4 linked regions of the Diceros bicornis minor genome follow. The protein of the gene in region 4 interacts with the protein of the main gene of each other region in a pairwise test. Links are inferred from orthologs where the notes say so. Each region holds a gene or a part of one and is shown on either strand. Other genes may lie near its edges. The genes, in order: CEP57L1, BICDL2, TSNAX and KLC3.

Region 1 (7,898 bases), on a different chromosome or scaffold from region 4:
GTTTTGCAGGTAAAACTTGGAGATGAACTGGTTGGCGGCAGCCATGTTACTGTGCACCACCGCTCCACGGTTCTCAAATTCTCAATGTGGAGTCAAGTTCAAAGCAAATAAAAGACAGCCTCCCCCAACCATCCCCACTGGGTTATCATGCCATAGCACTGGGCACTGACCTGCTTTGCCCACTTCCCCTCTCCTCAGTGATCCTTCAGCCTGGCACCCAGCTCTGAGATGAGGCCTGCTTAGCACCAGTGAAGCTCCCCACGTTCAAACCAACAACGTTCTGTGTGGAGATGAGGGAATCAAAGTTAAAATCCAACCCATCAGCATCCATGAGTTCACTACGGATAATGGACTCCATGTCACATTCCAAGCTCCCATTGAACATGTCCAGGTCCAAGTCGCTAGGGAACTTCTCATGGCCCATGACCGGAAGGTTTGCACTAGTTGAGTACAAGGAGGAGCCTGAGAGAGAGTCTGAGAGGGTTTGCATAGACTGGCTGACAGACTGCTGCTGGTGTTTGGCTGACCCAAGGCTGCTGGAGTCGCTCAAGCCCATGTTGCTGACGGAATTCGACAAGGCACGGCTGCCACCGAGAGTGCCCTGGGTTTGGTGCTGGTGGTGGAGCAAGTTCTGATTGACCAAACTCCCTTGGTTAGGCTGGGCGGCAAAGGACATCATTGGGTCATTGCGAAGCATCACGTTCCGGCGGGAGTTCTGGGCAGACACAGCGGTGCTGGCCTGAGACATCAAGGGGTCTGACTGGGTCATCATGACATCACTGTGGCTGAGTGAGTCCGAAGTGAGCAGGTCCTGGAGTGTCTGGTTGCCATAGTGTGACATGGAAGAGAAGGTAGCTGGCTTGTTCTCTTGGATGGTCTGCATGGGAGACTGACGCAGAGAATTCAGAGACGAGGGTCCGAACACCGTGCTGTTAAAGGAGCTGGTGGGAGAGCCCAGGCCGGAGCCCTTGGTGGTGTATGGGAAGCTAGAGCTCCGCTGCATGAGCCCTCCGGGGGGCGATGGCTGGGACGATGGGAGCGTGATGTTATCCAACAGGTCATCCATGAGGTTGTCAGCCAGCCCATCATTCAGATTCATGGTGCCCGCCATGTCGGTCAGCCGTGGCAGCTCCACGGTGCATGGCTTGCTTACAGAGGGTGAGAGGCTGGCTGAGCTGCTGTAGAGCATGGGGGAAAGCGGCGCATCATCATCCTGGACATCATCCAACTCTGTGCTTGCCAGGATGGGTGACAGGCGGCCGCTGACTGTGCTGGCATTGGAATTGGTGCGTGAGCGGAAGTCCGTCCATGCATCCAGCTCATCGCTGCTGCGTGATGTGGGGCTGCCAGGCCACTTGGAGAGCTGGGAGGGACTGTCGTCTGCTGGCTCGGGGGCTGTCTGCAGGGCTGCCTTCTTCTTGGCTGCACGGCCACGGCTCTTGGTGTACTTGTTGCTGTTGTCCATGGAGACGGCCCGCCGCCGGGGTGCCTTCCCGCTCTTCCCCCCATCAGGGTTGATGATCCACCAAGAGCTCTTGCCAGTCCCCTCATTCTGGACCCGCATGAACCGGCTATGCAGCGACAGGTTGTGCCGGATAGAGTTCTGCAGAGAGAAGGGAAAATGCAGAAGATGAGCCTGAATGTTGCAAACTGAGTACCGAGAAGAAACAGTTAATCGGACTCATTTTTTAAAAACTCCTCAATTTCAGAGGCTTAAAAAAAAAAAAAAAAGACAAACAGCTGCAGGACCCGCCTTGGCTTGGAGTTAAATGACAACATTGTAAACGGCAAGTTTTATATTTAGGAGGTGGGTGATGGTTTCATATCCAGGAGATGCTGGGAATGTATAAGCTCACTGACATTGTTTTCCCCAAATTCCTAAGTTTTGCTGTCCTTTCTGTAATTGTATTTCCTATTCTGAAGTTCACACTTATAATTTATTACCACACCACCCTCTCCCCGCACTTCGCCACACACCTCCCTGGCTCTAGGATAATGAATCACCCAGGGGCTATTTATTCTCTCATCGTCCCCTCTTCCACCAGCATAGAAGCAGCATCTACCTTTTCTTAACTTCTATGAGCTCAGAACTGGAGTGCATTTTTAACCTATCCTTTCTATGATTCCGTCTCCTCCTGCCACAATGTCATACCTGTCTGGCAGGCTTAAGGAAAAAATGGCAGCAATGACAGAAGAAGCAGGCAAATCTCCCATTCAGAAAAATTCCAAATAATTTATAGATACTCTCCCCTCAAGGCAATGTGGTCTGAGCATAGTTAACTTCCTTCCAAAGAGAACAGTACAAAAAGGCGGGAAAAGAGTTACTGTACACTGAAGAAAACCGACCAACACTCTTTCAGCCAGGTGACCAAGGGGAACATCAACAGGATAAGTCATGGTGATGACATGCATTCAAATAATGTGATGAAAATGGCACCTTCCTTCCAAAATCCATCACTCCAGTCTAACCAGGAGAAAACCAGACAAATCCCAATTAAGGGACATTTATACAATGCCTGTCCAGTACTCCTCAAGACTATCAGAGCCAAGAGGAGCCTACAGAAGCATGATGACCAAACATAATGTGGTATCCTGGGTGGGAGGCTGGAACAAAAAAAGGACATTAGGTAAAAATGAAGGAAGTCTGAATAAACTAGGGACTTTAGTTAATAATAATGTGTCAATATTGGTTCATTCATTGTGACAAATGTACCAAGCTAACAGATGTTAACAATATGGGAAAACAATGTTGGGTATATGAGAACTCTCTGTTCTAGTTTTGCAACTTTTCTGTAAATCTGAAACTCTTCTAAATTAAAAGGTTTATTAAAAAAGAAAAGAGAGGGCCGGCCTGGTGGCACAAGCAGTTAAGCGCGCACGCTCCGCTGCGGCGGTCCAGGGTTCGCCGGTTCGGATCCCGGGCGTGCACCGATGCACCGCTTGTCAAGCCATGCTGTGGCGGCGTCCCATATAAAGTAGAGGAAGATGGGCATGGATGTTAGCCCAGGGCCAGTCTTTCTCAGCTAAAAAAGAGGAGGATTGGCAGATATTAGCTCAGGACTGATTTTCCTCACAAAAAAAGAAAAGAGAAATAGGGAAAAATAGCTTCAAAACACTAATGACTACACCCATCTTGCAAGAATCCTCCTCCTGGCTTGGTAGATAAGCCCAGTTGACAGCATGACCCAGATCCAGTCCCATCTCTGTCTGTGACCAACCATGTGACCTTGAGCAAATCACTTAACCCATCTGCAATAACTCCAGTTCTCCATCTTCATTACAGCCCTAATAGCATCCAAATCACCCCTCCCTGACAGGGATGACGTAAGGATGATATATGATAAGATACTTTAGGAGCCAGTCACGTACGAAATCAGAGTGTTCTTACGCTATTAGAAAGCACCGAGTCCCTGGTGGAGAGAGCTCACCACCTGTGCGAGCTCCTTTTAATCTGTAAAATGCCTCACGTGGAATAAGAGAGAGGAGTCGATGGATTCTCCACATCTGGAACAGCACCTGCAGGCCAGATGAGTTTTTATTTGCAAGTTAAAGACATAAGATGTTGCCTGATGCTGTGCATTAAATACGAACAATCCTAAAAGTTCCCATAGTTTTAAAAAAATTGGCAATCGCCAACTGTATTTATGTAGAAGATACAAATACATGTGTTCTACCAGAATGTTTTTAAAACACAGCAAGTCAGCGGGATGTTACCATAAGTAAATAACCCAAAATACTCACAGTACCTCCCACGTCTATGTTTCTGTGCAAGGAAGGCCTACAGTTCAGGCTGGGCAGTGAGCGTCAACAACCGTGGGTCAAAAGTTGGCATTTCTACGGTGGCCATAAAGATGCATTTGTGAGAAGCAAACAGGCAACAGGCCTGTATCTGATGAGACAAATGTTGCCCAGGAGACTATATATCCTGCTTCCCTTTCACTCGTATGGTTCTTAAAAGAATAATGGCATCTCTACTAATGGTTCAGAAATTACATTTCTTTAAAAAGTAAAACACTGTCTCTGTAAAATGGATTTGAAGCATGCTCTTAAAACTCACTTGGTGGGATTCACAAAGCAGGCAAGTGCAAGGTGGTTCTACTATTGAGTATTCACACGACTAGATATATTAAACAAAAACTTAAGCTTCATCTTCTTGGTGGAAAAATAGGCTGAGGCTATGCGGGGCCACGTGGACACTGGTCCAGTCACCCCCACCCTGGCCAGGCCCCTCTGCTCCAGATTTTGGAAAGAGTTCAGACCAACATTCAGAATTAACAATGACCAATCATAAGTATCCAGTTATCCTCCTTTTAAAAAGCATTTAGGGAACAATATTTCTTAAAAATGTATTTTTAATTTAACCAATTCCAAACTGAGAAAAAAAAAAAAGAAATAATTTAGAGATCTCCAAAATGCCCTGTATGAATTTTCTAATGGTCATCTATTACTACAACTCTAAACCCCGACAATGTATACGTGTAATTTTATAAAATGAAAAGCTACAATTGGTTAAAATTTGGAGATAAAAATTAAGCTTCTGTAAGGGTACATGGTAGAGGGGCTGGCATCCCCATACCTAGGAACAGATCTGCAGGGGTCAGAGCCCAGGCCCTAACTTCCAGGGTGAAGAACGGAGAGCCTGCCTGATTACAGCACCAGCAGGTACTGGGCCATAGGCTTTAGATTCATTGTCTCTAATCCTCATAACAAACCTGCAAAGTTGGCATCAGTGCCCTCATCATATATCTTAAGACTCAGGCTGAGAGATGATATTAAATAACTCACACAAGGTCACACAGCTAGTGTCTATAAGAACCAAAGGTCTGTCACCAAATTATGTAGAAGTCATTGTTTAACCTATCTGTGCTAACATTTAAAGAAACAAACATTTATGAAAGAAAGATACAAAAGCACAATCTTATTACTGCAATTTTGTTTACAAAATAGTTAGGGGTAATAATTTGGTGGGTCTTTTCTAAAATTAAAAAAAAAAAAAAAAATTTAAAAGAAAGCCTGTCTTTCAGAAGAGCAAACCTATAAGTGAAGGCTCACTTGAGCAGATGCTTTCTTTGCTAAGGTGCCCACCACAGCATTCACTCTAAGGAGAGGGCAGTGGTTACCATTCTGAAACAAAACCCAACTTATTACACGGGTGATTAGCTTCGGTGTCCAATATTTGCTCTATTCTTGTTTTAGAGGTTATTAGTGGCAGAATACATTCCCTGAGGTGTATTACCTACACAACACTCAGACAGGTTTTTCCAGTTACATTACTGAGACAACACAAACAGAAACTGTGCCACCACCATCCTCATAGTCCCCTTTCTTAGCAGCCTTCTATCCATACAGGCTGGCCAGCCTTCCATTTACAAAATCCATTATCTGAAGGCAGGGCATTGACAGAAGCTAACAAATATGGCCCCTCACTCTGACAAGGTCAGATGCCAGAACTGTATTCTGGTTTCCCTCATAGGTCGTGATTCTAATCACTAGCTTCTCTATCTAAATTTTGGTGAAGCAGGAAAAGGTAAATAAATAAATGCTGGATAAAATGTCAGAACTGCAATGTTTCTCCACACCTTCCCTGATGACAAAAACTAATGATGATATGATTTCTGTAAGATTTCAAACTGCTCCTCCCTCACCTCAATCCCAGGAATAAAGAAGTGGGATTTATAAAAATAGGCAAGCCAACTGTAAAATCCTCTTATGATTTATAGTTTAAGTTTTCTAAAGACCTCTCCATTAGGCTCTGTCAATTAGTCTCTAATGTACTATGTGTATTTTAAACTATAAAACTACCAGATTAAAAATATTCTATGGTTTTCCACTAATTCATATATCATCTTACCAAATAGTCTAAATTTCTAAGATTTTACATTAGTTTGGGGATCAGGAGCTGAAGGTAAAGGAGGAATGGTTTGATAGGACTAGAGTGGTTTTTCTGATCACATCTAAATACACATTTTGAAACACCTTGTGAGGCAGGCCAATGTTAATTGGCTGAAGTACCAGGGATGTGCTCTCCTTAAGGCTAAGGCGAAAAGGTAAATATTACCAACCAAGACTCCTATTGCTAGAGCTCAGGCCATTCTGTCATCAAGTTTACTAACTAAAGGCACCAAGAAGCAACTATAACCTCAACCCCAGACCATGTTGAATAGTTCCGGTTAGTCAAATCCACTACCAAGAAATCAGGATACTGATGAATTACAAGAAAGCACCATCTTTAGAAAGAAACTTGAGCTTCAGGGATAAATATACCAGTTTTTCTCCAACATGGATCCAAAGATTTAGGGAACCCTTAAAGCAACTCCATCACAACGTGTCTGAAGAGAGAGCAGAGATAAGAATACTCTTCATCTCATTTTTATGTCATTTTCTCTTTACTTACTTACTTTTTTTGGTGAGAAAGATTAGTCCTGAGCTAACATCTGTTGCCAATCCTCTCCTTGTTGCTGACAATGACTGGCTCTGGGCTAACATCCGTGCCCATCTTCCTCTACTTTATATGTGGGACGCCTGCCACAGTACGGCTTGATAAGCTGTGCGTAGGTCCGCACTGGGGATCCGAACCTGCGAACCCCGGGCCACTGAAGCAGAGTGTGCAAACTTAACCACTATGCCACCAGGCCAGCCCCCTCAATCTTCTCTTTTACAAAACCATTTACACAGAAGCAAGCTCTGCTCTGGGACAGAAATTAGGTGTAGTTAATTAGTAACAACTGGCTAAATGGTGTCCTTTGTGATTGCAGTTGCAATTAGTGGCCTAATATTTCAAGGTATGTGCAGCAGTGTGTAGGAGGCAGCATGAGGCAACTCTCCTTCCACAGTCACGCTATGCTTACTGTGGTTCATGTGGGCCACAGGCTAGGGATCCCTTCGCTTGGCCCTCCTCGAAGAAATTAGCATCAAGATGACTGTACACATCAGAATCTGGTAATTATTTTTCTTGCTATACTGAAGGCAGCTGTCTACTGCAAGATGCATTTATTGCTAATGCTAAAGTGCACATAGTGATTACATATATGCCAACTGGTTGTGAAGACAGATGGACCCAAAACAGATCAGATTAGGTGTTGGAGAGAAGCTGCCTGAAACGAAAAAGTATTCCACCAATACTTTACAAAGTGGATAATTCACACATGCATTTAAGGAGGCCAACGGAGGGAGGCAGCGTGATGCCGAAGAAAGACCGCAGGCTTTGATGTCAGCCAGATCCGAGTCGGAATCCTGGCCCTGGCATTTGTCCTGCGACCTTGGGCAAATGACTTAACCTTGGTTGCCCCTTTCATAAAATGGGGATAAAAACACCCTCTCTGCCTAACTCTAGGATATTTGGAAAGAGTAAATGAAATTGCGCATGCAGAGTACTCATTGGAGTGCCAAGCACAAAAGAGGCTCTCAACTGTCAGATCCCACATACGGAAGCAGTGACATCACAAATGTTCACTTACTGTTTTCCGAGCACCATATACTTTAAGCCAAAAGGTGTGAGGGCGGCTCCTTCCAGGAAAAGATTTCAAACTCTTAAAAGAATTTCAAAGATGCTGTGCCAGTCAGGAGTAACTGGTAATTTCTTAACTGTTGCTACCCTGTGTCCGCTTCAGCCCCTTCCAAACTGTGTTTACCGTGTGGAGACTGTCCACCAACCCAGACACCAGCTGCATGTGCTTCCCCTGGAACACAGAGAGGGTTTTGTCTGGAAGCAACATGTGGTATCAATTTATCTTTTTCAGCAACAGCAACAAGGAATCCACTGACTTTAAAAATAAAAAGGGAGTTGTGTAATTTAACTCTTAAAGGCTCTTGCCCTTTTCTTTTTTTTTTAAAAGACAGCCTTTTCTTCTTTTTTTTTCTGCTGTCTCAAAAGCAGCAAAATGAGAATTATGGTTGTC
Region 2 (7,652 bases), on a different chromosome or scaffold from region 4:
GGAAAACCCTTGCCTGGATTCTTCAAGAAAAAGTCAATGTCCTGAAAGACGTATAAGACAAGGAACTACTTTAGATTAAAGGAGACTAAAGAGAAATGACAGCTAAATGCAATACATGATCATAGATTAGATCCCGGATCAAAAAAAAATCATGTAAAAAGGGCGTTACTGAGAACATTTTAACGTGGGCTGTATATTAGGTAAGATTACTGTATCTATTTTATCAGTGTTCAGTTTATCACATGTGATAATGGTACATGATTATGTAGGAGAATATCTGCATCCTCAGGAGATGCGAGCTGAAGTAGCCAGAGGTTTAGAGAAATATGTGCAGGTGTGTGTAGTGTAAGAGACATGGAAATTAATAAAAGAAACCTTAACTAAATTGGGTCGGGAAGGCCTGTAGGGGGAGCTCTCAGCCCTATCACACATCATCAATTACACCAAACAAGAAAAGAGGATGCTTGCACCTTGGACAGTAAGGAGAACTACTTACTACTGAAGGAAGACTTCTCTCCTCACCAGGTAACAGCCCAGCCAATCGGAAATACTGCAGCTTAGCCAATGAGAAGCATTGCCGCCCTGACCTGCTACATCTCCCCAGAGGAGTTTCATTCAGGACAGTCCCTCCCTACCCCCCTTTTCTCTATAAAGGCAGCTCCCCTCCTCTCTTTTCTGGATTTGCCTATGGTACGCCATAGATGCACATCCTGAATGGCAATTCTTTTGTCTACTCTCCAATAAACTCATTTTGAGATAAAATAACAGGCAAATTTGCTTTTTAAATTGACAGAGAAAGAGAAAGTGAAGGTGGAAAAATGTTCACAATTGTGAGCCTAAGTGGAGGGTGTTCTTTATATTATTCCTACAACTTTTCTTTAGGTTTGAAAAATTCTCAGACATTGATTCGATGGATACATACAACACGGATGAATCTCAAAAGCATTATGCTAAGTCAAATAAGCCAGGCCCAAAGGCCGCATACTGTACATGATTCCATTTAGAGAGCGTTCTGGGAAACACAAAATAATAGTGACAGAAAGCAGACCAGTGGTTGCAGGGGTTAGGGGTGGCGAGAGAGATTGGCTGCAAAGGATTACGGGGAACTTTGAGGGGTTATGAAAGTGTTCTATACCATGATCGTGGTGGTAGTTACACTTCTGTCAAAACTCATCAAATGAAACACTTAAAATTGGTGAATTTTATCATATATTAATTATTCCTTGTAGTGGGTTGAATTGTATCCCCCAAAAAATATGTCCAAGTCCTAACATCCAGTCCCTGAGAATGTGACATTATTTGGAAACAGGGTCTTTGCAGATGCAAGTTAGTTAAAGATCTCAGGATGAGATCATCCTGGTTTTAGGATGGGCCCTAAATCCTGGTGTCCTTAAATGAGAAAGGAGAGCGAGATATGGGACCCAGAGAAGACCCAGAGGGGAGGGCCGCGTGAAGATGGAGACAGAGACTGGAGAGATGCAGCTACAAGCCGAGGAGCACCAAGGATTGCCAGCAGACACCAGAAGCCAGGAGAGAAGCATGGAATACATTTCACCCTTAGAGCCTCTAGAAGGAACCAACCCTGCCCAAACCTTGATTTTGGACTTCTGGCCTGTAGAACTATGGGACAATAAATTTCTGTTGTTTAAGCCACCTAGTTTGTGGTCATTTGTTACAGCAGCCCTAGGGAATGAATATCTGCCTCAATTTAAAGCTGACTTTTGGGCTGGCCCCGTGGCTTAGCGGTTAAGTGCGCGCGCTCCGCTACTGGCAGCCCGAGTTCGGATCCTGGGCGCGCACCGACGCACCGCTTCTCTGGCCATGCTGAGGCCGCATCCCACATACAGCAACTAGAAGGATGTGCAACTACGACATACAACTATCTACTGGGGCTTTGGGGAAGGAAAAAAAAAAAAAGGAGGAGGATTGGCAATAGACGTTAGCTCAGAGCAGGTCTTCCTCAGCAAAAAGAGGAGGATTAGCACAGATGTTAGCTCCGGGCTGATCTCCCTCAGCGAAAAAAAAGCTGACTTTTTTTAAGTTGGGAAAAACGTGGAAACATCAGGTTAAATGGAAAAAGCAAGCTGCAGAACAATGCGTTCAGTGTGAAATATTTTATATAAAGGTTTTAAATGCTCCAAACAATAGTACTTATTGTTCATAAACTTTGCATATACTGTAAAAGCCTGGAGGCGCCTGGGTCTGGACCCACACCATTCCCACAGGGGTGTCTCTGTGGAGGGGGCAGGGAATGCCGTGGGGCATTCTGCTGCCCTCCAGATGCCCAGCATAGACTGCCCAAGGCATTGTGACATGTGTGAAGGCTTCCCCAGGGAGAAGTCCCCAGAGCCAATACTTGGAACACCAGGGGCCCACCAGGTGGTTGGGAAGGTTGGGGAGAATGTTCCAGGCTGAGTATGGGCCTGGAGGCTCCAGGAAGCTAACTTGTTTGGGGGCAGTTGGAGAGCAGGTGAGGGCTGGGTTATCATCCCTTCCCTTATCTGGACTAGTCCCAGCCTCCCTAGGGCTTTCCTGGGGCCACTCTGTCCCTCCTTGCCATCTTCCCCTGGGATCAGCAGGGAGGCTAGGGGAGAGGAGCTGGGGGCTGAGGGAGGGGCCAGGAGGCCAGGACTTAGGTCCAGCAGGGAAGCCAGAGGCCAGACTCCTGGGTCCAGAGAAGGCTGGGGGCCAGATTCAAATGTCCAAAAAGTGACTGGGGCTGGGAGCCGGGCAAGCTGGGAAGACAGGTCGGTCATGTAGCCACAGGCAAATCACTTCTCCTTTCTGAGCCCATTCCTGGCTGAGAATGGTATGACCTCACAGGTTGCTGGAGGATGGAATATATTGTAACATGCGTGGTGAGTCACCGCTTGTGGCCGTGCAGAGGATCGCCAGCACCAACTAAGGGCTGCTACTTCACCCTCATTTAATCCTCACAACCCTGTAAGCTAGGAACTGCTATCACCCCCACTTTACAGATGGGGAAACTGAGGGCTGCAGGTTAATCAGCTGAACGGCATAAGTGTGCACAGCTGGTAAGTGGCCACACTGGGATTTGGACCAAAGCCATGCAATGCCAGTGCCACGAGCCAAGATCCTTTGCTGTACTGTTTTATTGCTTCATTTCTCGTTTATAGGTCTACACCCCCTCCCAGCTCCTGGGTGGACTGTGAACCTCCTTGGAGTAGGGCTTTGACCACTTCATCTCCAGATGAGCCCAGCCCCCTGCCTGGCAGAAGGGGGCTCTGGGAAGATGTGTTGAGTGTGGGCGTGATATGAGTGGGATCCAGGGTGACCCTGGCATTTGGAGGGGGTCGGGTGGCAGCACCAAGGGGAGACTGGGGTATTTCCAGCCCTCCAAAGTCCACCAGGCTGTTCCCACAGGTGCTGCGGGAGAAAATGGTGGCCTTGGTAGGCAACACAGACCTCAGACCCCTTTGCAAAAGAATTAGCGCCCCTACTCTGTGCTGGCAGGGAACCTTGTCCCAGCCCCGGGACCCAGGAGTCCCAGCCCCTAAACCACCCCTCCAGGGAGTCCTTGCACCCATTTTCCCACAAGTCAGGAGTCCCAGCTCCCTTCTTCCTCCTATTTTCCTAGGACCCAGGCAACTGGGCCCCCAGGCACTCAGGAGTGCTGAGCCCCAGCCCCAGTGTGCAGGACTCCGCCAGTGCCAGCTGGCAAAAGCTGACCATGCATATCTCCGCCCAATGTCACCTTCAACGACGTCGTGTCAGTAGCTTGACAGCAGCCGTGGAGGGAGTATTTATACCTCGGGAACTGGTGAAGGCAGCAAATCTGGGCTTTCTTTCCCCCAGAGAGCCCATTGTTAAATGTTACCAGCACGCCACTGCTCCCAGCCCTCTGTTTGTCCCTGCTCACCAGGCCAGGGGACCCTGACAGGAGACTCGTGAGAAGCCACCAGGTCATGGCTGGGGCATCACCCACATACTCAGGCTGCACTGGGCTGGAGCCCGGAGCCAGCCCTGGACCCTCCTGATCTCCACATCAAGGGCCCCAGCCCTGACTGGAGCGTGGTGTCCAGCTCTGGGCTGCCTGGGAACCAAGAGCCCAAAATGGAGCCACATGGACTGAGATGTGGCTACGGGCAAGTCGCTTTATCTGTCCTCACCTGCAGCCCCATGTCAGCATAAGAGCACAGACCCTAAAGTCACACTTTTGCCGTTCACATTCAACTTGTGCCCATGTGACCCCAAGCAAGTTAGATCCTCCCTGAGCCTCAGTTTCTTCATCTGTAAATTGAGGATGATAGCAGTTCCTGCTTCATTAGGAGGTCATGAAAGTAAACAAGTTGTGCTATAAAACAGCTTACTTAGCAGAGTGCTTCATACAGGTTAGATTTGTTGTTATTATGATTGCTAATAATTTCCTGTCCCACAGGGCAGGTGTGAGGGGAAAGGAGCTCAGCGGTGAGGTCTGCATACAGTAGGTGCTCGATTAATGGACCCTGTCATTTGCGATGGCAGCAAGATGAGTCAGTGCCTCGGACCTGGGTGGAGGAGACTGTCCTTCGCCTCCGCCTGCCCATTCCGGCCACCAGGGGGCGCCCTGGCCCCGCCCGCGGCCCCGCCCCCTCACCTGTGCGGCCAGTGCACCTGGCACCGCCTCCGGAAGAGGGGATCGGGGACCGCGGGGACCTCGGAGGGAGCCCGGCGTCGGCGGGTGAGAGCTAGGGGGCGCCGAGGACACGGGCCCTTCGAGCTTGGGCGGGACAGGACCGGGTGGATTCAGCGCGGGCGCCTGGGGGGCGGGGGACGCCGGCAGGAAGGCAGGCGGTGGCGGGGCTCCGGACGTCTGTGGCTGGGGTCGAGAGGCTGGGGGCCCTGATGCCTGGGTCGAGATGCTAAAGGGCAGCTCCTTGAGGGGAGGGGGAAGAAGGAGAGACGCCCCCGGGTCTCCGGAGTCGGGTCGGGCCGCAGGGGCCACGTCTGGGAGACCCCGGGTCCGGCCAGAGAGTGGCTGTGCCGGGACTACGGCGACACCTGGGTCCTGAGGCTTGGACACCTGGCGAGGAAAGGAGTGGGAAGGACAGGTGTGTGTGTGTGTGTGTGTGTGTGTGTGTGTTTGTAGGGGGTGGGGAGACCTCAGGAGGGCTGGAGGGGGAAGCTACCAGGGAAGCCCTGTGCCTCCTCTCCCTCTGGAGCCCCTGACCTGCTGGGCCCTGGGCCGCCCTAGGCCAGTGCCACCAGGCTTCCATCCCCAGGGGCGGGCCGGGAAGTAAACAGAAACCTGCGGTGTCGCGCTCAGTCGCCAGCACAACCTGTTACCTCGCCCTGCCCTGGGCCCGATACCCAGGCCCTGGGAAACTGGGGGCTGAGACCAACACTCCAGAAGGGGTGGGGGGTGGGGCTGAGGGTCTGGTCACCTGAGTTCTGAGTGGTGAGGACCAAAACCCCTGGCTGCTGAGAAAACAGGAGAACAAGGGCCAGGGCATCTGAGTCCTAAGGAGCTGGGGCCCTGGGCTTCTGTAAGAGGAGGGGCTGGGTTTCTGGGGGCAAAGGGGTGAGGGCACCTAAGTTGCCAAGGCCCTGGAATCTTGGGAGGAGAAGGGACTGGACTCATCTCTGAGTCCTGAGTCCCTAAGAACCTGGGTTCTGGGAAGAGTTTCCCAGCCGGTGGGGGGCTAGGAGCCAGAACAGCTGGGTTCTGGGAAGAGCAGGGGGCAGGGACTGTCAGCGGGTGGCCTGTGGTCCAGGAGAACTGGGGCAAGGTTACCTGGGAGCAGAGAATGTCTGCCGGAGGCAGGGGGCAGGGCAGCTCATTTCCTGCTTCTCCTTGCCTCAGTTTACCCTGGGGACATTAACGGAGCTGGGCGGCCCTGGCTGCAGGATTGGAAGGGCAGTGGGCAGGTGGAGAACTGCAGGAGGGCCAGGTCTTGGGCAGTGGGGAGCGAGCCCTGCTGGGCTGCAGAGTAGAGTGTTCTGTGGCTACCTGTCCCCACAGACCTACCTATCCCCACAGACGCTGCAGACACCATGAGCTCCCCTGAAGGGCCGAGCTTCCCATCGGGGCTGCTCTCGGGGGGTGCCTCCCCCAGCGGCGACGAGGGCTTCTTCCCTTTTGTGCTGGAGCGACGGGACTCATTCCTGGGAGGGGGCCCAGGGCCTGAGGAGCCCGAGGACCTGGCCCTGCAGCTGCAGCAGAAGGAGAAAGACCTGCTATTGGCCGCGGAGCTCGGCAAAATGCTCCTAGAGCGCAACGAGGAGCTGCATCAGCAGCTGGAGACACTGAGCGCCCAGCACTCTGAGCGTGAGGAAGTGAGCTGCCGGCAGGGCACAGGGGTGGGCAGGTGGCAGGGGAGGAAAGCTGGGCACAGGGATGCCTCTGGAACAGTTCAGGGCTGGGCTCAGTCCCCCTGGCAGTGTTGTTCGGTGGTTGAGAACAGGGGCTCTGAGGACAAATGAAGACCTGGGTTCAGACCCCTGCCTGGCTGTGTGACCCTGGGTAAGCCTCTGGCCCTCTCTGAATCTTGGGTCCAGCTCCTCCGCAGTATAGCGCACCCCAGGCAACAGTTACCGGGTGCCCCCTCCCTGCCTGGCTCTGGGCTGAGCACTTTCCATGCACCATCTTGGGCAGTTCTCACCCCACCCTGTGAAGGAGGAACAGTTCTTCTCTCTGCCCAGGCTCTGTTGTCAAACACTCTCTCACCCTGGCAGTCACGTCTGGCCCCCTAAACACCCTGGACACCACTGACCCCTGTATCCATGTTGTCAGCGGCCCCAACCACTGCCCTGTACCCGACCTGGGTAGCCTACCACGCCACACTCTCCCCACAGGGCCACCTAATGGACATCTCCACATTGGTGGCCCTCTTGACTGTGATATCATCACCTCTGTCCCCATCCTGGCCTCTTACCTCAGGACCAGAGCCTGTGCATCTCCATGACCTCTCCTCCCACAGCCACGAGCCCTGTGGATTGTTCTTCTAGAATAGATTCTGAGTCCACCCACCTCTCATCGTCTCTGCAGCCCCCATCACCTCTGCCCCAGACACTGCAGCTGCCTCCTCAGTGGTCCCAGCTTCCGCTCTCGCCTCTTGGAGCCCATTGTCCATGAGGCAGCCAGAGGATCTTCAAGAGTTGCAAATCAGGGCTCGGCCGGTGGCTTAGCTGTTAAGTGCACGCACTTCGCTGCGGCAGCCTGGGGTTTGCAGGTTCAGGTCCCGGGTGCTCACCGATGCACCGCTTGTCAAGCCATGCTGCGGCAGCGTCCTATATAAAGTAGAGGAAAATGGGCACAGATGTTAGCTCAGAGCCAATCTTCCTCAGCAAAAACAGGAGGATTGGCATCGGATGTTAGCTCAGGGCTGATCTTCCTCACCAAAAAAAAAAAAAAAAAAACTTGCAAATCAGATCATTTCAATTCTTGGTCAGAATTTCCCAACGGCTACCCCTCACACTTTGAAACTGAAACTCCTCACAAAGGCTGAAAAGTCCTCGCGTGTGGACCTCCGTGACCTCATCTCAGTTGCACTCACTTCCTCCCCCGGCACATCTTTTCAGTTCCTTGAGTAACCCAAGTTTGTCCCTTCAGGGCCTTTGCATCTGCCGTTTCTTGCATGCAGCCCTCTTCCTTCTTGCCCTGCAGGAGTCAATTCAGACATCACTTCCTCCCGAAGGATCCCTCACCCCAC
Region 3 (6,909 bases), on a different chromosome or scaffold from region 4:
TTTGGATGGTTTCCACCTTCTGATTATTGTGAAGAGTGCTGCTATGTACATTCACGCACATGGTATATACCTAGGCGTGGAATTACTGGGTTATATGGTAATTCTATGTTTAAGTTTTTGAGACTGTCAAATTGTCTTCTACAGTGGATGCACCATTTTACATTTCTGCCAGCAATGTATGAGAGTTCCAATTTCTCCATATGCCCACTGACACTTGTTATTTTTTGTTTGTTTGTTTGTTTTATTATAGCCATCCTAGTGATGTGAAGTGGTATCTCATTCTGGTTTTGCCCATCTCTCTTTACTCCCTCAAATACCAGGTTCCCTCTCCAGTAAAGAACTGGAACATCATTTTCTCCTACTAAGTCCTAGCGTTGCTTGAAAAATAAATCTGTGCATTGCTATGTGCATGCTTCAAAATACCACTTTGGACCCTACAGGTATCTTTTAAATATTATAGTTACCATTTTAAAAATGGTCACTCAAGATTCTGGCAATTCCCCATGATTTCTGCTCCCCCACCTCCAGAGTTTATGTAATAACTACATAATAAGGTAAACGTGGGAACAGAAAATCTCTTGAAGGCCTATGTTTCTTCTCTTATTTGATTACAGCCATGCATCGCTTAACAACAGGACATATTCTGAGAAATGCATCGTTAGGCAATTTCGTGGTTGTGCAAACATCATAGAGTGTACTTACACAAATCTAGATGGTATAGCCTACTATACTTCTAGGCTATACGGTACTAATCTTATGGGATCACCATCGTACACACAGTCCATCATTGACTGAAATGTCATTATTCAGCGCATGACTGTATATGATTTTTTTTCAATATCCAAAACCAGTTTTGATATGTGATTTTTTTTCCTGTAAAGGTAACAAAAGTGAGGATTTATAAACCAAATAAAAACAGGTATGCTTAAAAGCCTTAGAGCTTTATTCAGAGTCAAATGTGGGCAATTAGAATGCAACAATAGGAGGAGGAAAGAAAACCATTCCAGAGGTAAGGTCTTACCAAAGATCTTTACCTTCCTCTCCCTGACTTGGGGTAGAAGTTTTCCTTTAAAACCAAACAAAAATATGTTTTGTCAAACACCAAAACTACGTATATGCACCTGAAGCAATAAAACAAGCAGACAGAGTGGAGATGCCTTCTGCAGGTTGTCAGAGACTGAAAGGTATTTCCTGACAAAGGAGTAGCTATGGTTGGGACACCTGGGGTAACTGCATATGCAAATGAATGCTGGGAAAGTGTCACTGGGATTCACCTTCATTAAGTACTTTGAGAAGTCATTACAGGTTCCGAAACTTAGTGTTCTAATCCTCACATTTGTGGGAAGCAGTGAAAAGCAGTTCAAGTAACACAGCTATAGTTGAACAGTTGAACTGGAGTGGTGGCTGGAGAAAGAAAATATGGCTCATCCAGTTTTACAAAGTTGAGGTCTAGGTGTAACTGGACTGGAGAGTCCAATCGCCCAGGTTCTTGGTCAGTGGAAGAGAGTAATTCAGACACTGACACAATGGCAACAGCAAGCAAGCACAGATTTATTAGAGGAAAGGTCAGATACATTTCAAGTGAGGAGCAGACAGCGCCAGAGAATGCATCTGCCCTGCGTCGTGGGTTAGGTTTATTTTTATTTGGGCTGTTTTGATGGGAATTAGCACTATCTGGTTATCCACCAATAATGGTCTTTCCTCCACCCACACGTTGGGATGGGGAGTTCTTAACCTTCTAGAGGAGTCTCTGGAACTGTCATGGCAGACATCCCCGGAGGAAGGGGGCTAATGCATATGGAATTTGTATGTAAATTAAAGAAAAGTCAATGTCCTCTAGAGGTGTATAGCAGAAGGCTTTGTACGTGCTGTTTGTGTACCCGTTATTTTTATTGTCATGGTTGATGGCCTCAGATTTCCAGCGGTGGCGCCAGGCAGGTCTCGGTTCTCCTTTATCTGCATCTTGTAGGATGCCAGCAAGATGCTTCATTGATGCAGCAAGGTCTCCAGCCATGATCCTCCACTCATGTCTGGATGCCAGTAACACGCTCCATTGCATGCAGCAAGGTCTCCAACTATGACCCCCAGCTCATGTCTACCTAGCTACCTATCTCACAGGGAGCTGCTATTCCAGTAGAGACAGGAAAAATACACTTTTCCCAGACTATGGTAAAATAAGTACTGACTCTAAAAATATCCATAACTTACTGGCTTCCTTAGATCTAGAGGAAGTCACATTAAAATGACTACATTTATATTAAAGTTGTCTTGTTTTTTTTCATGATCAAGTCATCTCTAATCAAAGAGTTGGAGGGATACTGGTGGACAATGTCAGGAAGGTCAGACCTCACACAAACTCAGAATTATCTGCCCAACATCCACAAAGCAAGTGTTCAGCCCAGGTCTTCAGGAGCCTATTTTATCTACCATTAATTTGGCTAACCAATTCCTGTATTCAAAAAGCTGCAAAGGTATAATGGGTGCTGGCTACTTCTCGCTTCAGAGTTGGAAAAGACCCTAGAGATTACTTGGAGCAGGAAACCTTCTTATGACACACTCCTGTCAGGGGCTTGAAACTACTGCCATATTCTAGCCAACTTGTTTCATTTACCGTTCCTTTGTTTCTCAATTAATAAGGAAGAAAGACTGTGTGTACAACACATGCCTACAATACAGAGGTTATTTAGAGAAAGCGTAACAAAACATACTTGTGTTTTCCCTACTAGGCCTAGGCCACCCAATTTACCAAGCCTTACCCTAAATTTATATGTGGAGGATGCTAGATTGCCACTTAGTTACCCATCCTGATGATGGGAGCGTCATTCTTCAACAAACACTTACGGAAGTTACCAGGGCACTGCACTACGGCAGTATTGGGGGTGGCGTGGGCACAAAGCCTAATAAGTCTAATAAGATATGGCAGCTCCTGCCCATAATAAAAAGCTCACAATTTACCGGTGCACACCCGTTATTATTACTGATGTCTGTTTTTTTTGGAGAGCGACGTTGGGAAAAGAGTATCAAAGCTAATACTTGAGCGTTTACCATGTCAAAGTCACTCTTCTATGCGCCTTAGTATTAACTCACTTTGTCCTCAAATAATCCTACGAGGCGGGTACTATTCCATCCCTATTTTACAGATAAAAAAACTGAGGTACACAGGTTAACCGCTTCCTCCAAGTCAGGTAACCACTCAGTGGCAGACACGAATTTGAACGCAGGCAGTCTGGCTCTAGAAAGCCAGGAAAAAGGGGTAAAGCGAGAGAGGACGGAAGAAGAGGGAGGAGAAGGTGGGAGACAGGTAGGGACGGAGAGGGAGAACAGAGGGCTGTTTTACCTTCGTCAGAGAAAATACTAATAACGCCATCAACTTATTGATTTGCATATTTCCATCACTTTTAGCTTCTGGCGTCACTCCTAACTCTGTAAGGTTGGACTTTGGTCCTGAGAGGACCTCCCACAGGAGATCGCTGGCGCAGTCCTTTCTCACAGCCCGGTCTCCAGCACCACATGGCCCTCTCCTGCGAGGGAACTACAACCCCCACTATGCACCGCGCGGGGGGCTGGGTCCATGCTGCGGGAACGCGAGGGTGTTCCAAAGGTGCCGTGAGGGAAAAAAATCACGTACACTTTTCGCCGCTTTCCCACCTTCACACAGACTCACCTCCAGGAGGACGGATCGTCTTTTTCATTAACAGCGCATAGAACGAAGCGTGTGGAGTCGCTTCTGTCCTCAGGCACAGCCGAGGGCAGGCGCAACGACAGCGCCGGCCGCGAGGTCCCCCGGGCCACGTGCGGGGCGGAGCCAGTGGCGGCGAGGCTGAGTCGCAGGCCGGAAGTGTGCGAGAGAGAAGGGAGAGGCTTGAGTGGCTGCCGGCGCGCCTTCCGGTGGGTGCGTCGACGTCGGCCAGCAGCAAAGGGCGCCTCGGCAGGCTTTCGGCGCTCCGCTTTCACCAAGGCCCTCAGCCTCCGCTCGTCTCACAGCAGGCCGTGACGACATGAGCAACAAAGAAGGTGGCGTCCTCGGCAGCATTGGGCGTTATTTATTCAGAGGGAGAGGATCTCCAACCGTTTTGTGGGATTTTCCATTTCTCCTCACCCTTGAGGGATGCCCTCTCCCCTTGCAGGCTCGGTGGGTGGGAGCGGCCGGCCCTGGTGATTTTCCCGGCCAAATGGCCTTATTTGCACCTCTCATTTTATTAAATTCTCGAGCTGATTTTTAGCTTAATTCGGTAATTCCCCAGCTTGTGCACATCATTGCTGGAGGCCTGGATGAGGTGAGCTTAGAGTTTGGGGGGAAAAGAGCGGGGCTGCTTTCCTGCCATTCAGCTGAGAAAGCCTGTAAGGAGAGCACTCTGTGGGCCTCTGGTTTAAAGGAAGGAAGGGATTTGCCTGTGTTATATTTTGTCAACTTTTGGTAAGAGAAGAGCCCTATCCAACTTTTTTCTCCTTCTCTACGTAAGGATCAGGAGGGTTCAGGAAAAGGAAGCATGACAATTTCCCACATAACCAGAGAAGAGAAGGGAAGGATGTTAATTCCTCTTCGCCTGTGATGTTGGCCTTCAAATGTAAGTTCTCTGTCATGTAAGTTGGCGAAGGGAAGAGAACTAAAGAGATTATAACAGGGATTATTTAGTTATGTTGTCTGCAAGAAAACAGCCCTTGAGAATTTAAGATGTGCATATCTGAGCCTTTTACTTTTCCTGGAGGTTTTGCCGTGGTGCCAGGTCTGCCATGAAAGTTGAGATTACAAAAGGCCTGGGTTTTTTTTTCCCATTAAAGTTTCACAGGTAAACATTAATGTCAGACATGCCACATAACTAAAAATTGTTGTGTACCTGATATATGCATATATATAAATTAGATATATGTATATCAGGTACATATATGTATATATATGTCAAGTGTTTATATACATATATGATCAATTAAATTTTTTTTTTTGGTGGGAAAGATTGGCCCTGAGCTAACACCTGTTGCCAGCCTTCCTCTTTTTGCTTGAGGAAGAGTGGCCTTGAGCTAACATCTGTGCCCATCTTCTCTATTCTGTATGTGATTCACTGCCACAGCATGGCTTGATGAGTGGTGTAGGTCCGTGCAGGGGATCTGAACCCGTGAACCTGGGCCACTGAAGTGGAGTGCACCAAACTTGACCACTATGCTACTGGGCCTGGCCTCTAATTAATTTTTTAACGTGTGTTGGTTTTTTTTCCTCAACTAGACTTTTGAAGATAGGAGCTATAATTTTATTTTGACTGTAGCACTCTGCACAGAGTGGGAACTCGTGCAGAATCCTATGTACAGGATCCTGTGGGAATCCTATGTATATATGTATTCACAATCCCCCTTTTCTCAGTATTTTAACTTGGTCAAGTTGTTCCTCATTTCAAAACAAAACGTAAGGCAAAGTTCTCCTTTCTCTTGTCCTCTATCTACCGTACTGTACCTTATAGTTTCTTGGTTCAGGACGCCGAGAGGGGCTTGGCTATTGATTCTAACTTGCGGTCATCTGAAGGCTTGATTGGGGCTGGAGGATCCACAGCTATTGATGAGTTAGGCCTTCTGCCAAAAACCACCTCTGGTTCCTTTCCACGTGGCCCACTCTGTAGTGCTGTTTGAGTCCACTCATGTTTCAGCATCCGGCTTCCCCTGGACAGAGAGCAAGGAGGAAACCACAGTCCCCTATGTCCTGATCTCAGACATCATACACCATCACTTTTGCTGCATTCTATTTGTTAGAAGTGAAGCAGTTTAAAAACTCTGCCTCATATTTAAGGGGAAGGGAATTACGTTCCACCTTTTGAAGGGAAGAGTCTCAAATAACTTATGGATGTGTCTTAAAACCACCACCGCACTTAAAGTGATCTTCAGAGGTGTAAGACAACTAGTTGTGATTGAGTAGAGAGCATATTGATACAGTTATATACTCGGTGGACTACAGAGCTGCTTGTTTCCAAGTGTGTTTTGGTGTTTTATGTTTCTGCCTGCCTTTTCACACATAGTTCTTTAAGCTTGGAATTGCTTCTAACTTGGTGCCCCCATTGTCCATCAGTGAACTATGGTTTTCTTCAAAACCTAGATCAGGTAGCTTCTATTTGAAGCCTTTCGGATTTTTCTCTCAAGCAGGTTGGTGACAAACATGGCATTCATTCATTATCCCTCCATCCATTCAGTCATGAAGTGTTTACTGAGCATCTGCTGTGTTCTAGCATGTGTTAGTAGTGAACAAAAAAAATGTGGTTCCTGTTTTACTGAACCTTTTACATATATTTATTATAGTGTGATCACATTTTATTTGTTTACATCTCTGTCTCATACTAGACTAAACTCCTTGAGGATAGGATCTGTCTTATTTAACTTTGTATTCATAATGACAGCTGTGTAGTGGTCATTAATGTATTCATAATAAATAACGAATACATTTGATTGTCTTGAAATATTAGGCAAAGTCCTAGCCTAATTATTATCTCAATAATAAAAGACAAGATGTATTTAGGTCCTTGTTAACTACTAATTTAGTAGTTTATTCAAGTTTTGGATTTTTTGTAATTCATGCAAAATACATCTGTTGCGTGCTCCCTATATGACAGGCAACTTGCTAGGTCTTTGAAGTGACAATCCTTCTGAAATAAAGTGGTTATTTAAAAGTTAAGTGGTTTATGGGGCCAGCCCGGTGGCGCAAGCGGTTAAGTGCGTGCGCTCTGCTGCGGCGGCCCGGGGTTCCCCGGTTCTGATCCCGGGCACGCACCAACACACTGCTTGGCAAGCTGTGCTGCGGCAGTATTAAGTGGTTTATGGGTATTTCAGTGACTAGCGCTTAAAAATTCAGAAAGTTGATATTATTAAAAGTTATAAACTTTTTTTTTTTTTTTGAGGACGATCAGCCCTGAGCTAACATCCATGCCAATC
Region 4 (7,122 bases):
TTCCAGCAGCTCCAAGCCAGCCGCCGGGCCCTGCCCTGCCAGGGCCTCAGCCAGGTGCCCGGCCAGGCCGCGGTGCTCTGCCCGCAGGGCCTCCAGCCCCTGCACCACTTGTCGCGTCTGTCGCACCAGCTCCTCAGGGCTCAGGCGCTCGGGGCCCAGCCCCGTGCTTCCGGGGGCTGCCACCTGCACGGACATTGCTGCTCCTGGGGGGTAAGCGGGATGGAGGAATCACTGCCAGGGCCAGGCACCAGCCCCTCAGCCTCCAGGCCATTCCGGCCAGCAGGACCCTTCCCAGCTCTCCCTCCCTCTCCATCTTTCCCGGCCAGCCCTCCGCCTCTGTGCTCTGCCCACTCCAGCCAGCACCCTGTCCCACACCCATCCCGGCCGGCCCGAAGCTGGGAACAATCTCGTCCAGCTTTGCCTGTCCCGAGGGCAACCCCAAAACCCCACTGTGTGTAATTAACCAAAGGAGGGCACACCGCTGGCTCGCCCTTAGCTCACCTGGCCGGCCCTCCCCACCCCGAGGACCCCAGACACCCTGGCCCGGAACTCCAGCTGTGGGACCTGGGACTGGAGGTGCCCTCCTCTGCTGGGCGTGTGGGGCGGGGCAGGTGGAGGCGGCAGCCTCTCTGTGAGCTCATTCTTAGGGTGTTTTTGTTGGGAACCAGTCAGACCACTGGGGGTGGGGCGCGAGGAGAGGGCCAAGGGGCTGGAGTGCCGGAAGCAGAGGAGGCCTCCAGGTTGGGGGGGTCAGGGAGGGGGCCCCATGCGTTGGCTCCCAGGGCCTGTGGAGCTGACAGACCCAGAGGAGCTCCGCCCTCCAGTGCAGACAGGCCCAGCCAGCCCAAGGCGTGTCGGGACACACATGTGGCAGGCGTGGCCCATGGGTGTCATCATTCCGGCCGTGTGACAGCTGAGGGGCTGAGGCCCAGATCGTAATGGGTGGGGGTCTCATATGTGGGACTTCATGTGGCTGTATGTGGGTGACAAGGTCCATGACAGCTGGTGATACCTCTGGGGCCCTCACACACACAGACACACACACACTCTCAGAAATATAACACTCTCTCCTTCCTTTCAAATATGACACAATACACATTCTCAGAAATACACCTCAACACACACACACACACACACACTCCCTTGTTAGAAATATAACGTAATACACATTCTCCTCTCAGAAATATCACACACACACACACACACACACACATTTTCCTTTCAGAAATAACACATGTACACTCCCCTCTTAGAAATACAACCCAACACACAGGTCTATTTTCTCTTCAGAAATAAAAGCCAACACATGAAGAAGCTCTCTCTGTCTCTCCCCCTTCACCTTCGAAAAATAACCAAATCCCAGATCACTCACATCCTGTCTCCTTGCACCTGTCCCCATGACACACGCCCTGTCCCACAGTCCTACAGTCCCGCAAGCAGCCACCTCTCCAGTATCTGCCCAGCACCTCCTCTCAGCACCACCACCACCAGGACTCACTGCGGATCCGTCACCATCTTCCCCACTTCCTTCCACGCCCCGCCCCCTGCCAGGCCAGCCAGGGATTCGCAGGCCCGCACGTGGTGCACACACACATACACGGACGTGCAAATGATCCCTGAACTCAGACTCAGTTACGCTGTCACAAGTGGGTGCCCACGGCACAGACGGCTGTGGAGACGCGCAGAGGGAGTGCCACAGTGTCCACACCCGCCCCCCACAGGTCACCATGTCCACCCGAAGCAGCCCAGCGGTTTCTGCACCTGCTCGCACGTTCACCATCACACACACACACACACACACACAGGAAGGGCAGGTGTGTAATCCTGAGGATTTTATATACGGCAGGCTCTCAGTTGCCATCAATCTCTCTATACGTGTATATATGTATGTCACACCATGCTTAGTCTCACACCTCACACACAGGCCCCATGAACAAACTCACAATCACACAAGTTCATTGAGCCCTTCTGACAACCGCAACCATTATTCATGCAGTTTTGCCGACGTATACAACCTCCCATGACATCACACACAATCTCAGACAGCTGAGCTGAATGCTCCAGACCCAGCTTTGCACGCACCACCTACAGCCAGACTGGCAACCGTGGTGGGTAACGGTCACAGCCACACTCACGGCTCGACCACAGCCACACATCACGCGGGTTGCTTCCTCCACACACACCAGTTCCCACCCTCATACAGCCCCCCAAGCCACACACTCCCCTTCATGTGCTCAGCCCTGTGCACACAACCCACAGCTAACAATGATAGTCACAGGCACACCGCACACATCCATGCTGTTCCACACACTCCCCACCTCCCTGGCACCCTCCCCATCTTACAGGCAGAAAGACAACCACGGCCACACACCCTCACACCTAATCCTATAAACAGTTCAATGCCCTACCATACACACAGGCCCCCCCCAACAGTATTACAGACACACCATCAGAGGCACCCACGTTTTCACATCAGCGAAACAATTCCACATCATTCACACAGTCTCTCTGCCCCCTGGCAGGGTTACACCGACGGTCCATCTCCCTTTGACACGCACATCCACAACCTGACACCATCACACACACCCCTGAGCTTCGTGCACCCTCACTCATGCACACGCACACACTCGCAGGCACGAGGCCCCCATCCTGGCCAGGCCCCCCCAAACCACGCAATGTACTCCCGCCCAGCCCCGCGCGCCGTCACAAGGGCCCCCTCCCTCCGCGAGGCCCCGCCCCGTCCTCGCTCCTGTTTACCTGCGCACGGGGCAGGGGGCGCGGCCCCAGATGGGCCTCCAGAGCCAGGGAGCCCCAGGCCGGCGCAGGGGGCCTCCAGGGGTCCCAAGGCCCGTCCCCGTCGCAGGGCCAGCGGGCCCAGGGGTGCGCCAGGCCCAGCTCCCATCCCCCGCCCCCGTCCCCATCCTCGCGGCCCCCGGGGTCCCCGCCCCGCGCTCCCGGCGCCCACCTGACCGCCGACGGCTCCGGGCCCCGCGGCCCCGCGCCGCGCCCCGCGCACGCCCCGCCGCGCCCCTCTGCGCCCCGCGGCTCGGCCCCGGCTGCTCCTCCGGGGCGGGGCGGCCATAGGCCACGCCCCCAGGTGAGGCCGGCCACGCCCACCGCCCGGGCCCCGCGGGGAGAGCAGGACCCCGCCCGCGGAGCCCGGAGCCTCCAGGGCACGTCGAACCCCAGGGTGATTCCAGCGCGCTGGAGGCCTGAAACGGAAGCTAGAATCTGGGAAACTCGGCATCTTGGAAACTTTGGATCCCAGACCGATGGCCTGCCGCCCGGCCTTTGCCTTGGCAGTGCCCATGCTTGGACCTCCCTTCCCATGGATCTCGTCGTCTATCTGGCCTCTTCTCAGAGGCCGCTTCCTCCGAGAGGCCTTCCTTGCCTGCCCCTTCTAAATTACACTCTCCCACCCAAACATACCTCATTTCCCTGCTGGATTTTGTTCGCAAAACTTTTCAGGGCCTAAAATTATTTTAGGTAACATAGCACATTATTATGTTATGTTACATCACATTGTTGGCGAGGTAACTGACGGCTAAAGATTGGCTTTGGGTTCAAATCTGATTTCAGCACTTGCTGGCTGTGCAGGCCTTGGGCCAGTAACTTAACCTCTCTGTGCCTCCGTTTTCCTAATCTGGAAAATGAGGATAGTCAAAGGCGGAGAGGATTGAATGAGTTAATACATGGATAGGAAGCATTTAGCAAATATTAGTTACTGGTTATATGATATTATTGGTTCTCCAGGACTAGAAAGTCAGCTCTTGAGGTCTGGGTTCTGTTTTGTCAGCACTGTTATTTTTAGCACTAGAACAGAGCCTGGCGCAAAGTAGGTGCCCAATAAATATTTGTTGCGTGACTGACAGAATGAATCAAGTCGTAGAAACGTAAATTGGCCAAAGCTGGACGCACAGGATTCTAGATCATAGACTTTGGTTCAACGCGAGTTTTTCCCAACTTCGGGAGCACTCCGGTCGCTGCACTACAGGATGCTTCCAGCAGAGGGCGCTGGGGGACCGTGGACCAGGCGCCAGATCCAGCGCGGGTCCTTATCTTCCCGCAGAGCGGCAGCCAAGCTGCTCTCTACCCCCTGGTTCTTCGAGCCCCACTGCAGATGCTTCCTGCTCTAGGAAGCCCTCTCTGATCCCCCAGGCTGGCTCAGACGCCTCTTCCGGGCTCCTGCCGCCTCCTGGGCTCCCACATCCCAGCCCTGCCCGCTCCGGGTCGTCAGTGTCTTGAGGACGGCTCTGCCTCCCCCGCTGGACTGCACTGTAAGCCCGAGGAGGGGACGACGGCCCAGGACAGTCTCACTCATCACTGTGTCTCCAGTACTACCCAGCCCAGGCCCAACACGGAGAAGGCAGTCGGGAGAACGGGTGTTGATTGAATGATGGAAAATAAAACTCAAATGCACGCTCTTAACTTCTCCAGGTTATTTCTAGGGAGCAGGGTAGAAGGGTCCAGCTGAGTCCCTCCCTTTCCCCCTCCCCCACTGTTTTGGCCTCAGGACACTGGACGTTGGTTCTGGATCTGCCACACACTTACTACAAGGCAGCACAGGGAGTCGAGCCAGGTGGCCCAGGTGCAAATCCCTGCTCCATCGTTTGCTGGCTGTGTGACCCGTTAGCCAGGAACTAACCTCTCTGGGCTTCAGGTTCCTGGTCTGTAGAACCAGACTGACGAGGGTACCCTACTTTGTGAGGCTGTTGGGGGATTAATGAGTAATCCCTTTCAAAGGCTTAGCGCAGAACAGCGAGTGGAAACACTGTGTGGGTGGGGGTGGCGGTGGCTGGGAGTTGGAGCCAGCGAGACCTGAGTTCAAATCCTGGGCTCGCCGTTTCCTTTCCTCGTGACCTGGGGCAGGCAATGATTTTCTGAGCACCTGTTTCCTCATCTGTTAAACCAGGATTGTCACGCTCGTCACAGCACAGTGGCGAGGATTAAATGAGATAAAGGCTGAAAGGAGAAAGTGTTGACGAGGGTGACCATTTCTTTAGGCCGGCCCTATGCCAAGCACTTTCACACAGCACCAACGAGGGCTGGATTTTCTGAGTTCTTAGCCAGAACTGGCCCTATGTTAAGTCTTGTAAATTAACGCTGTTAATCCTCACACCGACCTGATGAGATAGGTGCTATGATTATCCCCATTCCACAGGTAAAGAAGATGAGGCACAGAGAGGTCAAGTGACTTATCCAAGGTCACACAGCTGAGGCATAGCAGAGCCTTGCATCCATACAGCACCCCCTGTGGTAGGCACTATCACTAGCCCCATCTAAAGATGAGGAAACTGAGGCCCAGAGAGGAGGAATCCCTTGCCCCAGAACACAGCCCAGAAGGCACTCAACCAAACTCCCATCCTGTCATTGAAGGCCTCAGTTTGCCATGTCAGGAAAATGGGTGGATGGATAAGGATCTTTTTGATTGTTACCTCTTGGCCAGTTTTTAGAAAGCTGCCCCCCCCCCTTTTTAATTTACAAAGTAATGCACTGTCAGAAAAAATGTCACAGAGAACAAAGACTAGTCTCTCCTTGGTCCCCACACATCATTCCCAGAAGGAAACTCCCAGTTTCTGACATCCTTCCAGAGGTATCCCATGGACACGAATGATGGCCTTGGCTTGGGTGTGGTCCTGTGAGTTGCTCTGACCAATGGCAGAGGGACACAAGGGATGGCCAGGCCGGTTCTGAGCTTAGACCTTCAGAGGTTCAAGAAAGACCTTCAAGACATTGACTGTCTCCTTTTGTGTCCCCGCCTCAGCATGAGAAAGGCCCCCGCTGCGTGGCTGCTCCCCCTCTGGCCCACACCCCACAATGTCCACATACTATCAAAAGATAAACTGAGGCAAAGTAAACATTTTAAGAGTTTATTTGAGCAAAGATTGATTGGAATCGGGCAGCTTCTGATCCAGCAGATGGAAAGGTGCTCTGAGGAGCAGGACAAAATGAACGACTTATAGGCAGAAGGGAGCAGGAATGAGGAGGTTGTATTAGGCAAAAAGGCAGCTTGGTGACTACAAGGTCACTTTCCCTGACAGGGGACGGCAGGGGCCTATCAAGCAGATACCGATCTAGAGCTGACCAGGCGATTCCTGATTGGCGGGTTAAGACTCCACTTCCGGGGCCGGCCCGGTGGCGGAGCGGTTAAGTGTGCGTGCTCTGCTGCTGGCGGCCCGGGTTCGGATCCGGGTGTGCACCGACGCACCGCTTGTCAGGCCATGCTGTGGCGGCGTCCCACATAAAGTGGAGGAAGATGGGCACAGATGTTAGCCCAGGGCCAGTCTTCTTCAGCAAAAAGAGGAGGATTGGCATGGATGTTAGCTCAGGGCTGATCTTCCTCACACACACACACACACACACACGCACACGCACACACACACACATATACACACACACACACAAAAGATTCCATTTCTGGGAGAGCGGAAACCGTCATTCAGTTCGGTCTCGGTTTGGTGATTGGTGACGTGGGGCTTAGTGTAAGTGACTCCATTTTGAGCCTGCTGAATTGTTTTTAACAGTATGGAGCCGAGCTTCCCAGCTGAGCCCGGCCCAGATCAGCCAACTCTCAGCCGACCCCACGCCCATTTTTAAGCTACTGCATTTTGGGGTGGTATGTTTCACAGCCTTCTTGTGGCAATAGGTCTATAGTTATTTTTTCCCACTTAGCAATATATCTTTGTGCTATGGTCTGAATGTTTGTGTCTCTCTCAGATTCATATGTTGAAATCCTAACCCCCAAAGGTGATGATAAGTATAAGTACATGGGGCCTCTGGGAGGTGATTAGGTCGTGAAGTTGGAGCCCTCATGAATGGGATTGGTGCTCTTATAAAAGAGACCCCACAGAGTTCCCTTGTCCCTTCTGCCACGTGAGGATACGAGAGGTCTGTGATCTGGAAGAGGGCCCTCACCCGACCACGCTGGCACCTTGATCTTGGGCTTCCAGCCTCCAGAACTGTGAGTAATACATTTCTGTTGTTCGTAAGCAACCCCGTCTTTGTTACAGCAGCCCGAATGGACTCAGGCTCTTGGCAGTTTTTCCAGAGCGTTACATATAGATTAGCTTTACTCTTTTTCACAGCTGCATATTATTCCAGTAGGAGATGTCTCATCTTTTA

What was found.
Region 1: the proteins of KLC3 (region 4) and CEP57L1 interact in binary tests that used the Homo sapiens proteins (3 or more experiments, as listed by UniProt). The two-hybrid records come from large-scale screens. The link is inferred for Diceros bicornis minor from reciprocal best matches to the Homo sapiens genes KLC3 and CEP57L1.
Region 2: the proteins of KLC3 (region 4) and BICDL2 interact in binary tests that used the Homo sapiens proteins (3 or more experiments, as listed by UniProt). The two-hybrid records come from large-scale screens. The link is inferred for Diceros bicornis minor from reciprocal best matches to the Homo sapiens genes KLC3 and BICDL2.
Region 3: the proteins of KLC3 (region 4) and TSNAX interact in binary tests that used the Homo sapiens proteins (3 or more experiments, as listed by UniProt). The two-hybrid records come from large-scale screens. The link is inferred for Diceros bicornis minor from reciprocal best matches to the Homo sapiens genes KLC3 and TSNAX.

The regions. Positions count from the first base shown.
Region 1 is NC_080762.1:26,352,917-26,360,814, forward strand, and holds the start of CEP57L1 (centrosomal protein CEP57L1), read right to left. Parts: upstream 3,005-7,898; 5' UTR 2,994-3,004; coding exon 2,880-2,993; intron 1,604-2,879; coding exon of another isoform or gene 206-1,603; exon of another isoform or gene 171-205; intron 1-170. Other genes in the region: FOXO3 (forkhead box protein O3), read right to left, coding at 206-1,603. UniProt on the Homo sapiens protein: Centrosomal protein which may be required for microtubule attachment to centrosomes.
Region 2 is NC_080765.1:45,491,438-45,499,089, forward strand, and holds the start of BICDL2 (BICD family-like cargo adapter 2), read left to right. Parts: upstream 1-4,632; 5' UTR 4,633-4,681; intron 4,682-4,927; exon of another isoform or gene 4,928-5,051; intron 5,052-5,980; 5' UTR 5,981-5,994; coding exon 5,995-6,276; intron 6,277-7,652.
Region 3 is NC_080745.1:24,675,035-24,681,943, reverse strand, and holds the start of TSNAX (translin-associated protein X), read left to right. Parts: upstream 1-3,892; 5' UTR 3,893-3,998; coding exon 3,999-4,014; intron 4,015-4,463; coding exon 4,464-4,568; intron 4,569-6,909.
Region 4 is NC_080773.1:19,617,997-19,625,118, reverse strand, and holds the start of KLC3 (kinesin light chain 3), read right to left. Parts: upstream 3,019-7,122; 5' UTR 2,966-3,018; intron 204-2,965; 5' UTR 196-203; coding exon 1-195. UniProt on the Homo sapiens protein: Kinesin is a microtubule-associated force-producing protein that may play a role in organelle transport. Plays a role during spermiogenesis in the development of the sperm tail midpiece and in the normal function of spermatozoa.